Linked DNA regions of Tamandua tetradactyla. The protein of the gene in region 2 interacts with the protein of the main gene of each other region in a biochemical or structural test. Links are inferred from orthologs where the notes say so. Each region holds a gene or a part of one and is shown on either strand. Other genes may lie near its edges.

What was found.
Region 1: the proteins of NEDD4 (region 2) and RAP2A form a complex in vitro, tested with the Homo sapiens proteins (2 studies listed by BioGRID). The link is inferred for Tamandua tetradactyla from reciprocal best matches to the Homo sapiens genes NEDD4 and RAP2A.

Annotation. Positions count from the first base shown.
Region 1 is NC_135330.1:166,206,622-166,214,291, forward strand, and holds the start of RAP2A (ras-related protein Rap-2a), read left to right. Parts: upstream 1-4,655; 5' UTR 4,656-4,715; coding exon 4,716-5,029; intron 5,030-5,261; coding exon of another isoform or gene 5,262-5,457; exon of another isoform or gene 5,458-5,679; intron 5,680-7,670. UniProt on the Homo sapiens protein: Small GTP-binding protein which cycles between a GDP-bound inactive and a GTP-bound active form. In its active form interacts with and regulates several effectors including MAP4K4, MINK1 and TNIK.
Region 2 is NC_135340.1:71,135,246-71,142,764, forward strand, and holds the start of NEDD4 (E3 ubiquitin-protein ligase NEDD4), read right to left. Parts: upstream 3,019-7,519; 5' UTR 1-3,018. UniProt on the Homo sapiens protein: E3 ubiquitin-protein ligase which accepts ubiquitin from an E2 ubiquitin-conjugating enzyme in the form of a thioester and then directly transfers the ubiquitin to targeted substrates. Specifically ubiquitinates 'Lys-63' in target proteins.

The sequences.
Region 1 (7,670 bases), on a different chromosome or scaffold from region 2:
CTTTCCTGCTAAAATGTAGGCTCTTTTGGCTAATTGTTCATTGTTTTATCCACATAGCCGAGAATAATATAATAGTAAATGCTCAATAATTATTATGATGGCTTTAATATACCATTCAGGATATAAGTAGAATGAAAGTACTCACAAATGCTTGTCACTTTTTGTTTTTTAGATACTATTTTGTCTTAAACCCCTCATACCTTATTACAGTTGAGGTATGAGGTATGAGTCAAATTTGTGTTTGACTGCAAATTGCAGAAAACTTTATGTGGGGTTAAATCAAAGGATGTTCACTGCTATATGTCCAAAAGTAGGAATCCCAGTATTGGTTTGGCAGCTCAACGTTGTCATCAAGAACTTATGTCAACATCTTTCTTTCTAGCCATCAGAAACTCGATGCCTTTCAACCTCAGAAATGGTGTATCATGGCCCAAAGATAGTGACCACATTCTCATAGTTCAGTGTGCAAAGCAGAAGTGGTAACAAAAAACAGGGATGTCTCCTCACTCTTGTTAGAATCCCCAGAAATTGCTTCAGCCCCAACGCTGTTCATATGCCAATGTCAAGAACTGAGTCATGTGCCTCCTTCTGAACTAAGCATGGGCAGAGGGGAGAGTACTGGTATTGAAGACCAATCCCAACTCATTTCTGGGTCTTTTGGCAAGATGAAAAGGAAACAGCAGGATATGCAAGCAACATTGCAGCCACACTTCTGCCACATTAAATGCTCCACATTAAATCTCTTGTTTTCTCAGAACCCTCAAGTTCTTAAGAAGTCTGTCTTTTCCCTATGTTTTAATCATCTATCCTTCTCTCTCGGAAATTTTTTCTTCTTAAAATTATTCTTTTAAAACATTTAAGTGGTTTCTTTCACTGACTGGCTTGTATGCTCAATTTGTGTTGTAATTATTTTTGTCTTCAAAATCACTGAAACTTACCACATTTTCAAAAGCGGAACAAGTTTACCCTGCTCCTTTCTTTCCACTGTTATATTTCTCAACAGTATTAAGAAAATATCTTCTGCTCTCTTTACAATTTCCAGCAGCATTTCACAGGCGTTAAATGTACTTGACTTGTCCTTCCCCTTTATGGATAGTCAGAGACATGCACACTTCAATAAAAGTGATAGGAATCAAGGTTTTATTAGCCAGGAAGTAATGGTCACATTACACACATACTGTACAACTTGTTTATACTAAATTATTTCCATATTTGCTCCTTGCCAGCATCAGGAAGTCCCAGAACACAGTGTATTTCCCACATAATTCCACCTTTTCTAACATATTTCACAGAAGGAAAGAAAGGAGCTGGGTTTCCATGGTAACACAAATGTGACAATTGCTGGTATTTGGGCAGAGGTGAGTGCTCTTTCACACTCAGTGGGAGAGGAGAAATGAAGTTGTTTTTTTGTTTGTTTGTTTTTGTTTTGCCCCTTGGCAATTCACTTCAGAAACTGAAGAGACCCTGCAGTATCAGTGTACAGTGTTAAGTTTTCACTATTACATAGATTTACAACTCTTAGGGAAATTTCAATTTTGTCTTCTCTCAATTATATGCTATCTTTCTCACAAACAATGAATGAAAATGTTTTTATTTCTAAAATCACCCTCAGAATAGATTATATTGGCATAACAATGAACATAATTAAGAGAACAGGAGATAGACACTCATCTCCCACCCATATCAGCAAAATTCTCTAAACACCCTTTCAGCAGCTAACCCTTCAACCAACATTGCACATACAGTCACAAATCAGTATCATTATCCACAGCAGAACAGGTGAGAAAATATGCTGAAAATATATCTGTCATTTTCTTTCATCTCTCAGTGGTTAAAAATCTACCTCCATGACACTGAGAGTGAAATTGAGGTTAGTCTATTTGAGAAACAAATAAACTGTGACTATCCAAAAACCACAACCGTTACACATCTCCTTTTCAAGAAAATCAGCACTGATGAATGATCAGGAGAAATAACCAGGGAAATGCCAAAAAAAAAAAAAAAAAAAAAAGCTCTCCTACTCTCTGTTGTGCGAAGTGGAAAAATAGGGAACCTAGTCACTAACTTTTGTGACAACTTCTATCTGATGAGCTCCAATCCAGAAATATCCAACTCTCTGGAAACCTAGGAGTAATGAATATGTTTGTTTGCTGTGGTTACATTCTGAACCCACAATCCCAATGCAAATTTCTCAAGCCACCGAACCTCTTTTTCTTGCACAGTGAATGGATTTTCGGTTCCACCGTAATACAAAGTTTTACATGGGTTGTAATTATCTATACAAAGAAACTTCGATGCTTTTTGACCCTATTTTTGCTGATTGTGATGGCTCAGATATAAACTCATATCTTGATGCCATGTAATCAAGAAATAATGACTGAGTTACGCTTTATTGTACATTACTTATTCGAAAGCACACCTGCCCTTAATTGTTTTAAACAAAAACTTGGTGTGTGATTCTATAGCAAGATAATGCAAAAATACAAATTATCCATTCCAAACAATAGAGTAGTAGGGCAGTAGGAGGCTGCGAAATCAAGATACATCTTTCTGGTAGTTTATTAATTGACAAAATGTGGTAAGAGAACGTCTGATTTTTAGAGACGCTCGGACCAAAATATTTATATGATGACCTTGTAGGGGAGAGAAATCGGTGGAGAGATCTGCCAGATCAAACATTAGAATTATAGAATTCATTATTCTCAAGAGATGTGAGAGACAGTAATGCGTAAGTGTAGATTAGTTCGAGAAAGACATAATTTAAGGAAGGGAAACCCAATAGCAAGTTATACAAAAATAATCCAAGAATGTTTGGGGATTTAACTCCTTCTAAATTTGAAGTCATGGCTAGGGCAGGGAGTGTAAATAAGCTTTAATGCTAGAGACAGGAAGTATTACACAGATGTTCTAAAAGGTACGTATAGAGCACCAATGTAACTGCTTCGTTATGCCTTCTTAATAACCCGAAAATTTCTCACCCTAAAGACAAAAGTCTGTTTTCCCGACCCATCCCACATCCCTGAGAACCATTTCCATGCCCAGCATTTAAGCAGACTGCCACCGAGGCTATGTTAAAAGCGGAATTCACCCCTCTCGCCTGCAACAAACCTCATTCCTTTGCCAGAATGAGGCACGGCGCCCAGCCCCTGGATCTTTGACCACTCCCAAACCACACCAGCCCCAAGCCTTGTCTCCATACTACCGGCCCTCGGTGGTTAATGTGTCGCTTGTTCTGGTTGGCGCAATCCAAGCCCAGGTCACTCAGCAGTTCACTACTATTGGTTGGCAGACAGTGCGCAGGAGCAAACGCCCAGCCCGGCGAGACTTCGAGGGGTGGGTTGGCTGACGCCGAGACGAATGTTTTTCCCCCATTGGCTGAAGAAGGTCCATCACATGGTATCAGGCAGCTCTCTATTGGCTGTGAGCGGTACCATGGGTCCTAGAGACGTGGTCTGGTTGGCTGGAATGAATCCAGCCTCCTAGATGTTCCAGCTGGCTGTTGCTAAGACGTATCCCTGGTCCTCCTGGCTATTGCACGGGGTTCCGCTCTCCAGGTTTTTCAGACGCCGGTAGCTGACAGGGCGTGGGAAGAGCTCGACTTCAGTCCCGCACCATGAAAGGGCGGGACTAGAGGGAAGGTGGGTGGAGCACGCGACGACGTCACCGGGCGTGGACCCGGCTTCGGTGGTGCCTAGCGGCGGCTGATTAGCCCATCGGGGAGTGGATTGAAGATACTTGTCACCTATACCTCAGTGTACTTACGCTTAAAACAAGGCTTCTATTCGTTATGTTTATACAACCTCAGGCAGAAGGCTGGAGGTTCCTGTCACGTAAAACAAAGCGCCATCTCGTTATGCTTATACAATATAAAGTCAAAGACAGTGACAGAGTGATGTCAGGCAAAGCCCCTCAACCAAAGGGCTCCTCAGACTCTTGCCCATCTCGTCCTGTCACTTTCCTGCCTCAAGGTAAAGCCTCGAAGATGGTATGGCTCTTCCAATATCTTGTCTCCCCAGTAATTTGAGAGTGGGATTCTCTGGTTGACGCTTTTTCTGTCTCAGGCAGACGGACTGGGCATGCTCAGTACACAGGCCTTGGTGTTCGATGGGGTGCCGTGGTAGGGTGTTGCTGAGTGGCCTGGGTGGTGGTTTGCTTAGCCGCGGGCAGAAGCTTCCACGCAGCCCAGAGCCTCCCCGGAGGCGCGAGGCTGGTCGCCTAGACGACTGAGGGGAGGAGGCGGGGATTTGCGGCCCGGCCCCGCCCCGCCCTGGACTGCCGGGCCCCGCCCCCGGTAGGCGCTGCGGCTGGGGCTCGGGCGCGCGCTCTAGCGCCTGGGGAGGCGGCGGCGGCGGCGGCGGGCGGGGAGCTGGGCGTGGAGGCGCGAGGGGCGGGGCGGGCGGCACTGCGGGCCCGCGGTTCGGCAGCTCCCGTGGCTCCTGCTCTCAGCTCGCCCTCTGTTCCTCCCGGCGCCCGCGGGGTCGCGTTGCCGTCCGGCTTGGCCCATGCCCAGGGCCGCCGCTCCCTCAGCTGCCGCCGCCGCCGCCGCCGCCGCCGCCGCCGCCCGGGGAACCGCCGCGGCCGTGAGGTGGGGGCGGCCGTGGGAGGCGGCGGGGCCAGCCGCCGGGGCAGGGTCCGGGGGTGCAGCGCGGCGGGCGTAGGTCTATGTCGCGGGCGGCGGCGGCGGTGGCAGCAATAGCAGCGGCAGCAGAGAGACGATGCGCGAGTACAAAGTGGTGGTGCTGGGCTCGGGCGGGGTAGGCAAATCCGCCCTGACCGTGCAGTTCGTGACCGGCACCTTCATCGAGAAATACGACCCCACCATCGAGGACTTCTACCGCAAGGAGATCGAGGTGGACTCGTCGCCGTCGGTGCTGGAGATCCTGGACACGGCGGGCACCGAGCAGTTCGCGTCCATGCGGGACCTGTACATCAAGAACGGCCAGGGCTTCATCCTCGTCTACAGCCTCGTCAACCAGCAGAGCTTCCAGGACATCAAGCCCATGCGGGACCAGATCATCCGAGTGAAGCGGTGAGTGAGCCGGGCGGGCGCGGCCGCGGGAGCCCCTTCTGAGCCGAGCTGGGGTCCCGCCCGGGCGGCCCCCAAAGGGTCACGGGAGGCTTCGCAGCTGGACTCGCGAGTCATTGTCCCACGGTCAGAAATCCCCCGCGTGTGTCCATGTGTAGGGGGAGCTGTCTAGGGAGATGGCTCTGAGGTTTTATGCGTTATTGTCATCATTATTATTTTGCATCTCAAATTTTAGCGCTTTGTTTCAGAACTTAAAATTGGCCATCCGGTTAACCCAAGGCACAGCTCTTTGTCTCTTGAATAAGGTTAGTAGCGCTCGTACAGAACATCAAGGGAAACAAAGTTTAAAACTTGCAGGGGGAAAAGAGGTGGGTAGGTTTGTGCTGGAAAGAGGGAAGCTGTACAGGATAGGCGAGACATTTTCAAACTGAACCACAAGAAGTCTACTTTTGCAATATTTGACAGCAGGAATTGCACATACATATCTGTAAAAATGTCAAGTGAAGAGCAAAGAGACCTTTCTCATCTCATAATAGGTGTAATGGTGCAAAAGCCTTTTAGAGAATGAACTCTAATTTAGTGGCAAACTTTAAAGACAGATTTACGTATTATTTGAAGACATAACGATTCAGTGGAATTGGAAGAGTTCTAGCATACAGCTGCACAAGTATGCTATTTACTAGTTAAAAGGAATGCAGTTTAACTGTTTAGGGAAATGGTTTTTTATTCCTTTTTTTTTTTTTTTAATCTAGCTGACTTCCCCCCTCAAAAAAAAAAAAGTCTTGCCTGGAAATGAAATACAAGCTGCTTCTTCACATGTGTGACCCAAGTATTAGCTAATTTAAAAGTTAAGGCAAATAAGGCCTTTCTTAATAAAAACACTTTTCTGAAGTATGCATTTTGGAAATATGGCTATTAGCTTAAATGGTTGAAACTGCTGGGTTTCTCTAAAGTTGATTGAATACTTTTTTTTCCCTATAATTTTAAGCCTTTGAAATGTAATATCTTCAGAGTTTTAGCAGTTTTTTTCTAGTTTCTATTTAATTCACATTACTGCTTTCTCTGGTTGTTATTACTTCTTCTTTGCTGGTAATTTTGCAGATTTAGTGTCACTTTTTTTCCCTACCTCATCTACTGTAGCCATAAATTTGAAGAGGTACAGTGAAAAGACAGCTTTAAGTTTACCATAAACACAATCTTATTATAAACCTATTTGAATCTACTAATTTTTAAAAAGTAATGACCGAGTCATGTGTACTCAGGGGATGCTCAAAAATACTTTCCTGATGGCGGTTTTTTAATGCAACATATGAGGTCCAAGGAGAGGCCCTCTCCCCCTGGCTCCCTTAACTGATTGGGTATATACTTTAATAGCTAAACTAAAATTTTGTATGTTATTTCTTGAGTTAAATTTACAGCAAGAATAAAGTAAATATTTTCACGCCCTCTTGCTCTTTTAAGATCTATTAATTTGATTAGCTTTTTACTTCAACAGTCTTACTTACTTTTTATTTCTACAGTCTTATTTACTTAAATTGTTTGTTGATGGTTAACAGATGGCAATTTTGGTATTAAACTGAGTATGTATATGACATTTAAGGGTCTGCATTCAAGAGACTCAAATGCTAAATTTCTCTCTACCCCCAACATCACTGAATTAAAAAAAAAATCTACAGAACATGGTAGTCTAATACATTGCCACATGACAGTCTTTAGCCAAATACATACATCAAATAATAATATAAATAAATGCCCCAACTGCCCCATCCTTCACATTTAAATATAAACATAAGGATGCGTACATACATTCAAAAAGTCACATACTCAGGGTAAACTTCGTGACACAAGCCTAGGGGAGAGAATATGGTATGCAAGATATCATTGGATAGTATAGTTCACAAAATTTTGTAGTTTATTATCTTTAGTACAAATTACTTTTCTCTGTATATAATAAATGTTAGTTTAAAACTGGTGTTCTAGAACATTTTCTTGCTTTGTGGCCCAGGGAAAACAAAATTAGAGTAAAATCCTACTTATCTGGATGTTGTTTTACCCATTCGTTTCAGTTTGTAACTTAAAAAGACAATGACCAGCCAAAATAGTGTTCGTAAACTCTTTTCACTGGAATTCAACTATTTTATCCCCAATACTTGGACCCTTACATCTATGACCTGTTATTTTATCCTACCCTAACCTCATCATCTGGCTTCCCAACCTATATAGCATATTATAAATAAATTAAAATTGAAAGGGAGATAGGATCTATGTTTATTATATGCAATTTAATATACATGTATAATGCATATATTATGTTAAAGCAGGGACTCAATGTACTTGTTCTCTGATTCTTCCTACCACTTTAAGTGAATAAAACATGGTTTTCAAGTAAATGCATTTTCAGCTGCTTTGGGGACCAATTTATAAATTAACCAGATATTGTTGGAGTTATCCAATAATTATTCTCTCCCCTCTGCCTCTTGTGTGTCTGGTAGCTGCTTTAAATATAATATACACATGTAAAGTTGTTTTGTGAAATTTGGTATGTCCATAATGCAGGATTAACTGAAGTGCAGAGAGATTTGGTATCTTAGTCAAGACCATTCAGTGGTAGAGAAGAGGTTTAAATCTGTGTGGAACAGTAGGC
Region 2 (7,519 bases):
ATTTGACTAAAAAGAAATAGCATTATATTTGAGAATTTATACAGTAATTATAAACCTAATGTTTATGTTATTTGGTTTCATGAAACCTATCTCCTTTATGATTTTACAAACTTCAGTAAATTATTCCTTATCATCTTTTTTTTTTTATATAGAAGGAAGAGTCCTAATCTTTTTACCTTGCCTTCACATGACTACAGCTTTCCTTTTTGGATTAAGATGGAGGTCTGGTAACCCAAATAATGGATTACTTGCGATGGATCAACAATGCAAATCTAATTTCCAGTTAATAAGCAAAACATCTCTGTTAATAGAAAATAACAAGCATCATATATTTGGTTGGATAAACGTTTTCTCTTTGATAAGCTTCACTATAAGCATTAGTTTCATGACTCCTAACTAGATTTTAAGCTTCCAGTGTTCAAGAACCATAACTAAACATTTCTTCCAATCCTCCTGAACTCATGCTGGACACAAAGTAAGCACTAAACTATACCAGGCACGCTGTCTGCCTGACGCTTCCTTTCAGGTTGTGTGTGTGTGTGTGTGTGTGTGTATGTGTGGGAGAGAAAGTGAGAGACATTGATCCTAGCAAAAAGCACTGCAGCTTGACAAGAAGGAAAGGAAAGTTTGCAGAGAAGGATTCAGCAAAGGAAAGGTAATGTAAGAGAATATATATGCAACTCCTAACACTCCAGTCTGAATTTAAATCCTAGAGAGGCTGAACAGTTTGTACTGCTGGCCGAGGTCTAGGATTACACAGAATCAGTAATACCGATTACAGATACTGCTGTGGAACCTGGGGTAAAATATGGCCTCTTAGCCCATAAAATGCCAAAAGAGGGGCATCAACTCTAAGCTCAAGTAGGGAAGAACCTGAGAGTGGTGGCAGCCCTCATGTGAGAAACCCACACAAGTCCTGTGGGAATTCCATATCGAGTGAGACAGATACAGGCATTCCTCAGAGATATTGTGAGTTCGATTCCGGCCTACTGCAATAAAGCGAGTCGCAAATGTTTGGTTTTCCAGTGCATGTAAGAGTTACATTTATACATATGGTAGTTTATTAAGTCTGCAATAGCATTATGTCTTTAAAAATGTACATAAATTAATTAAAATATGACAGAGACACAAAGTGAGCACATGAAGTTGAAAAATGATATCGATAGATTTGCTCAACATGAAGTTGCCACAAACCTTCAATTTATAAAAATGCAGTATCTGCTAAGCACAATAAAGCAAAGTGGAATAGAACAAGGTATGCCAGTAATGCCTTATGATTAGATGGAGACTCACAACTCTTCTGAATGATTCTGGTTATTGATTATCTACAACAAAAACAATGCAATTGCTCACATGGTATATACAGGCCCTGGATAACTCTATCCACTGACTAGAATTCTTAAGGCCAAAGATCACGAAACCGGAGAAACACAGCATCTCCACCCAGAATATAGGAGTCTCCTAAAGCTTCAGTGGCTGGATGTGCAGACATATCTCTTAGGTGACACAGAAATAGTAACTTTTGTATTGGTGGGCAGAATTTTCTTAAAGACACATCATTCTAAAACGTTCCATCACCAGCATTACCAACATCAATATTACACCAACACCGAACACCAGTCCTATAGTTAATAATCAACCCTCAGGATCTAAGTTGACTGAAAAAATGGGAAAGCGAGCCTACACTTTCTTAACAGCAAAGGTCAGTTATATTGCAAAAGTGTTCCAAATTACAAAAAGTTATTTCTGTTTAAAATTATACCTATATTCTTTTCCCTACACTTCCTAATAGAACTTGCTAGGTAAAGGATATGTTCTTAATTTAGTTGTGAATGCTTCAGGAGAGACAGGATGACATGTGCAATGGCATAGGTCATTCAATGTTACAGAATCAAGTCTATTACTCTACCAGCCGCTACAGTTTCTGTAATATCTCAGTATCTGCACACTTCAGTTTCTTGCTAGGACTAACAACAACACACATGACCCAGTTCTAATGATCTTTTGCTCCCTTTTGCTAGTAAAGTGAGTTTCTTGAGAAAAGCAGCTATATTCCAATGCACAGCAAAGCATCTAACAATGCATACACTAAATGACATACTTTAGTAAACACAAAAAATACGGTGTCGGAAAGCCATAAATGCAGGAACCCAAGAATGTTAAATAACACTTCATATTTATATCATGATGGTTAATTTTCTGAATGCTTTCATAGTCATCTAATTTTATCTTTACATTAAACTTATCAGAAAGGCAGGGCAAATATTGTTAACCTCATTTTTAAAACAAAAGAAAATATTTTCAGAGGGATTAAATGACTCGTCCAGGGTTACAAGGTAATATACCACAGCAGAGGCAGGACTTCAATAAAACTTCTGAGACCTTGGTGTGGAGATTTATAATATCCTGATGAATGCATCTTTTGGTGTTGTTTTTAGTAAACAAATTTATTTTTATGTATCATACTTATCAATCTAGAAACATCCAATTGCCAATATTAGAGGCAAAACTTTTTCCTTCCAACTCATCATGACATCCCATATAGTACTGTGCACAGAGTAAATGCTTAAGGAATGTTAATGCACCAATCAATGTATGATAAACATCAATTTCAGCCATGAAAGAGTCATACCATATTAAAATTACTGTAAGAAAGGACTAAACAGCTAACCAGAGTGGAAAGGAAAAAGACGAGTTTTCCCTCTTTGAGGACAACAGATAAACAGTTGACCAACAATACACCCAAAAATCAGGGAGAAATTTATATCAGTATCAGTAATAACAGGAGAAATAAGATACTAATACCATGACTCAGCAATTCAACTCCAAAATATGGACCTTAGAGATGCCTTTGTACATGTCCATAAGGAAACACAGCAAGAACATTTACTGATTGATAATAGCAAAAAACTGGAAACAACCCAAATATCTACTAAGGAGGATAAATACACAAATTACGGTATTTTGTAGATACGGTATTATGGTCTTATCACACACATATACCCAAAAAGAAATTAAAGTTTCATTCTTTTTTTTTACATGGGCAGGCACCAGGAATCGAACCCGGGTCTCCAGCATGGCAGGCAAGATTTCTGCCTGCTGAGCCACTGTGGCCCACAGTTTCATTCATTTTTAAGCTAACAAGGACAATGGATTTTGTAGATCATAGAATACTATACATCAGTCAAAATGTGTCATCATGGATCAATCTAAAAAATATACATTAAACAAAAAAGCAAGTCACAAAAGAATGCATTCAGAATGATACGATTTTTATAGATACAAAAACAAGCAAAAAGAAACCAATTTTTAAAATGGATATATGATAAAAAATATCTTAAATTATAAACATAAAATTAGGGATAGTGGTTACTTATGGGAGAAGAAACGAGATACCACTGGGAAGGGACAAAGAAGGGTTTCAAAGTATTTGGTAATGTTCTAGTTGCGAAGCTGAATAATGAGTATACAGTTGTTTATCAAATTCTTTAAAATAAAAATTTGTCTTTCATATACTTTTTTGTTTATATTATACATTTTATGATTAAAAGAACACTAGAATTAAAAACAGAAAACATAAAGTTTGGTACCTGATCATATTTGGTAACCTAATCATCAGTATCTGCCACTCAACCTTAGAAAATCAGATTGTACACAGTGATGAACAGTCCTTTTTGGCAGCACCTTTGCTTATGATGATGCTAATTAATAGATTCATTTATGATATCTTCAGCTACTAGCACAGTTATGGTTTCTGGAGGGAAAAAATATGCTATGCATTTTAACACTAGACACAGATGCTCTCAAAATCCATTGTCCTTGTTAGCTTAAAAATGAATGAAACTGTGGGCCACAGTGGCGCAGCAGGCAGAAATCTTGCCTGCCATGCTGGAGACCCGGGTTCAATTCCTGGTGCCTGCCCATGTAAAAAAAAAGAATGAAACTTTAATTTCTTTTTGGGTATATGTGTGTGATAAGACCATAAGCCTTGAACAAATAACAGTGTTCTTATACCTATATGTTTAAATTTTACAGATTTAAAATATAAATGTAAGATGCTAAGAAGAGAATTAGAAATAGGATCTCTAAGAGAGAAAATAAGGAAAAGGATAGGACTTCAAGATAGTCTTTAGGAAATCAGGAACCATAAAATCATTTTATAAAAATCAGGTTTTATTTTGCTTTTTTCCAATGTAAGACTGGAAATCCTTTAGAGGAATTCATTTGCTTATTCCTTTCTGAGTGGAAACGGGATAGTTCTCCTTTGTAGAAGGGTGGAAATAAGAGGAAGGAGATGGGATGTAGTAAGCTGGATAGAGGTGAGCCCAGGAAAAGACACTGCAGTGAGGAGGCACAACCCAGGATACTCTGGAGAAGGCTCCCTGAGCCTTGGGCTATTGACCCAGGTACATAAATGAGCACGAGGAAAGGCAAGACAGAAACCAGTTTTCCTTATTATCTCTTGGGAGGATGGTGGAAAGGTAGAGAGGAGCACTAGAAAAAAGGAAAACCAAAATTGTATCCATCATCGCCCAAAGCACAGATTCCCATCACACTTTCCCTTGCTGCTCTACTGAAATATGCCCTTGTTTCATACTTCACACTAGCACAGTATCACTTACCAAGCGATTTTCATCAAACACTTCGAAAAGAAGCCGGTGTTGCTGAGGATGGACCTAAGTAACAAAAACACAAGATTTCTTTAAGAACAAGTGAACAGCTTCAGTTTTTGGTGTATTGGTGGAGCTACAGAGAAATGCCTAAAATTGCTAAACTGGAATCCAGTAACTTTGATTCTTGAAGGTTGTTGTGTAACTATATAACTTTCACAGTGTGACCAGGTGACTAATAAAACTTTGTGACTGAGACTCCTTTTATCTAGTGTATGGACAGATGAGTAAGAAAATAAAGACAATAAATAAATAAATAATAGGGGATATGGGATGTGTTACTTTTATTTGCATTATTATTTTTATTGTATATGGAGCAATGAAAATGTTCAAAAGTCTCTTGTGATGAATGCACAAATATATGCTGATACTGTAAACCACTGATTGTATACTTTGGATGATTATATGGTGTGTGAATATATCTCAACTAAATTGCATTAAAAAAAAACTAGTGAATATCAGTCCACAAATCCTGAGAAATCAGTGCTTGAAGTTTTGCCACCACCTAATGTGTTACTTACAATATATTTTATATTACATAAATTACTTAATAGTAGAACAGAGAATCATGTGTCAGCCATTTTCTAATAATTTTATAACAACAAGATGAATTTTGTTATTTATTTTTTAGTATTTTCTAAAATAGAAAGTAAGAACTTTAAATGATTATTTAAATGTTTGCAAGCACTTAAGTGTGGACTAGGTTTTAACTTATTATCAATTTTATTTAGTGACTTTAAATTTATTAGGTTAGAACCACCCAAAGTAGATGTTGGTTTTTATGGAAACTAGTGCTCTGAATCCTTTTAGTACCGACTTGACAAAACCATTTGTTGCTTCTACTACCTAAAGTACATAAACAATCAAAAAAGTATATACTGAGTTTTCACTTATTGTTTATACTTGATAGCCCCAGAGTAAACATTCACAGCAGTATTTTATATTTTAATGCTGATGCTTTCAGTCTTGCTGAAATCTTTCAAGGTCAAATGAAAAAAATCTGCTTAAGACTTCCTGGAAGATGGCGGCTTAGTAAGACGCGCGGATCTTAGTTTCTTCTCCAGGACACCTACTAGGGGAGTAGAAACGATACAGAAAGCGCCCAAAGCCACAACAGAGATAAAAAAGACAGCGTACCCCATCCTGGAACGGCTGGCTGGCTGAGAGAAGCAGCTTGGGTGAGATCGCCGAGGCGCGCGGGCCTTACCGGGCGGGGTGGCAAGCGGCCGGAGTTACTCCCTTCCCCCTTCCCGGGCCGGCTGGGAGAATTGGAGAGGTGGTCCCCTGAAACCAAGGCGACTGGCGCCCACACCACGCGCAGTCCCCGGACCAACTGAGAGAATTGGATCGGAAACCCCCAGGCCGCGGAGAACGGTGACCCCGTGACTCCCGGGGAACGTGCACTCTCTCGGGCGGGCCGCTCCCGCTGGCGCCCTCCCGCCACGCTTGTTGCCCAGGGCCGACTAGGAAATTTGGACGGGCTCTTTCCCTGGCTGCAGCGACCAGCAACCCTCCCTGCGTTCGGACCCCGGGCCGGCTCAAGCCGCTTCGGCTAGCGAACCCCCAGGACGGCGATAGTTTTCCAAAGTTTAAGGTCCCACAGCACCTTTTACTGGTGGGACCCGCAGACAAACGTGTGCCACGAGCGCCACCTACTGGGCAGGATAAGAAAAACAGAACCCAGAGATTTCACAGAAAAATATTACAACCTTGCTGGGTCCAACACCAAGAGAAATCTGAATAAATGCCCAGACGCCAGCAGCAGAAGATAACTGTCCACGCTCAAAAGATTGAGAATATGGCTCAGTCAAAGGAACAAACCAATAGCTCAAATGAGACACAAGAGCTGAGACAACTAATGCTGAATATACGAACAGAAATGGAAAACCTCTTCAAAAATGAAATCGATAAATTGAGGGAGGACATGAAGAGGACATGGGCTGAACATAAAGAAGAAATAGAAAAACTGAAAAAACAAATCGCAGAACTTATGGAAGTGAAGGATAAAGTAGCAAACATAGAAAAAATAATGGATAGCTACAATGATAGATTTAAAGAGACAGAAGATAGAATTAGTGATTTGGAGGATGGAACATCTGAATTCCAAAAAGAAACAGAAACTATAGGGAAAAGAATAGAAAAATTTGAACAGGGTATCAGGGAACTCAAGGACAATATGAACCGCACAAATATACGTGTTGTGGGTGTCCCAGAAGGAGAAGAGAAGGGAAAAGGAGGAGAAAAACTAATGGAAGAAATTATCACTGAAAATTTCCCAACTCTTATGAAAGACCTAAAATTACAGATCCAAGAAGTGCAGCGCACCCCAAAGAGATTAGACCCAAATAGGCGTTCTCCAAGACACTTACTAGTTAGAATGTCAGAGGTCAAAGAGAAAGAGAAGATCTTGAAAGCAGCAAGAGAAAAACAATCCATTACATACAAGGGAAACCCAATAAGACTTTGTGTAGATTTCTCAGCAGAAACCATGGAAGCTAGAAGACAGTGGGATGATATATTTAAAATACTAAAAGAGAAAAACTGCCAACCAAGACTCCTATATCCAGCAAAATTATCCTTCAAAAATGAGGGAGAAATTAAAACATTCTCAGACAAAAAGTCACTGAGAGAATTTGTGACCAAGAGACCAGCTCTGCAAGAAATACTAAAGGGAGCACTAGAGTCAGAACCGAAAAGACAGAAGAGAGAGGTATGGAGAAGAGTGTAGAAAGAAGGAAAATCAGATATGATATATATAATACAAAAGGCAAAATGTTAGAGGAAAATATTATCCAAACAGTAATAACACTAAATGTCAATGGACTGAATTCCCCAATCAAAAGACATAG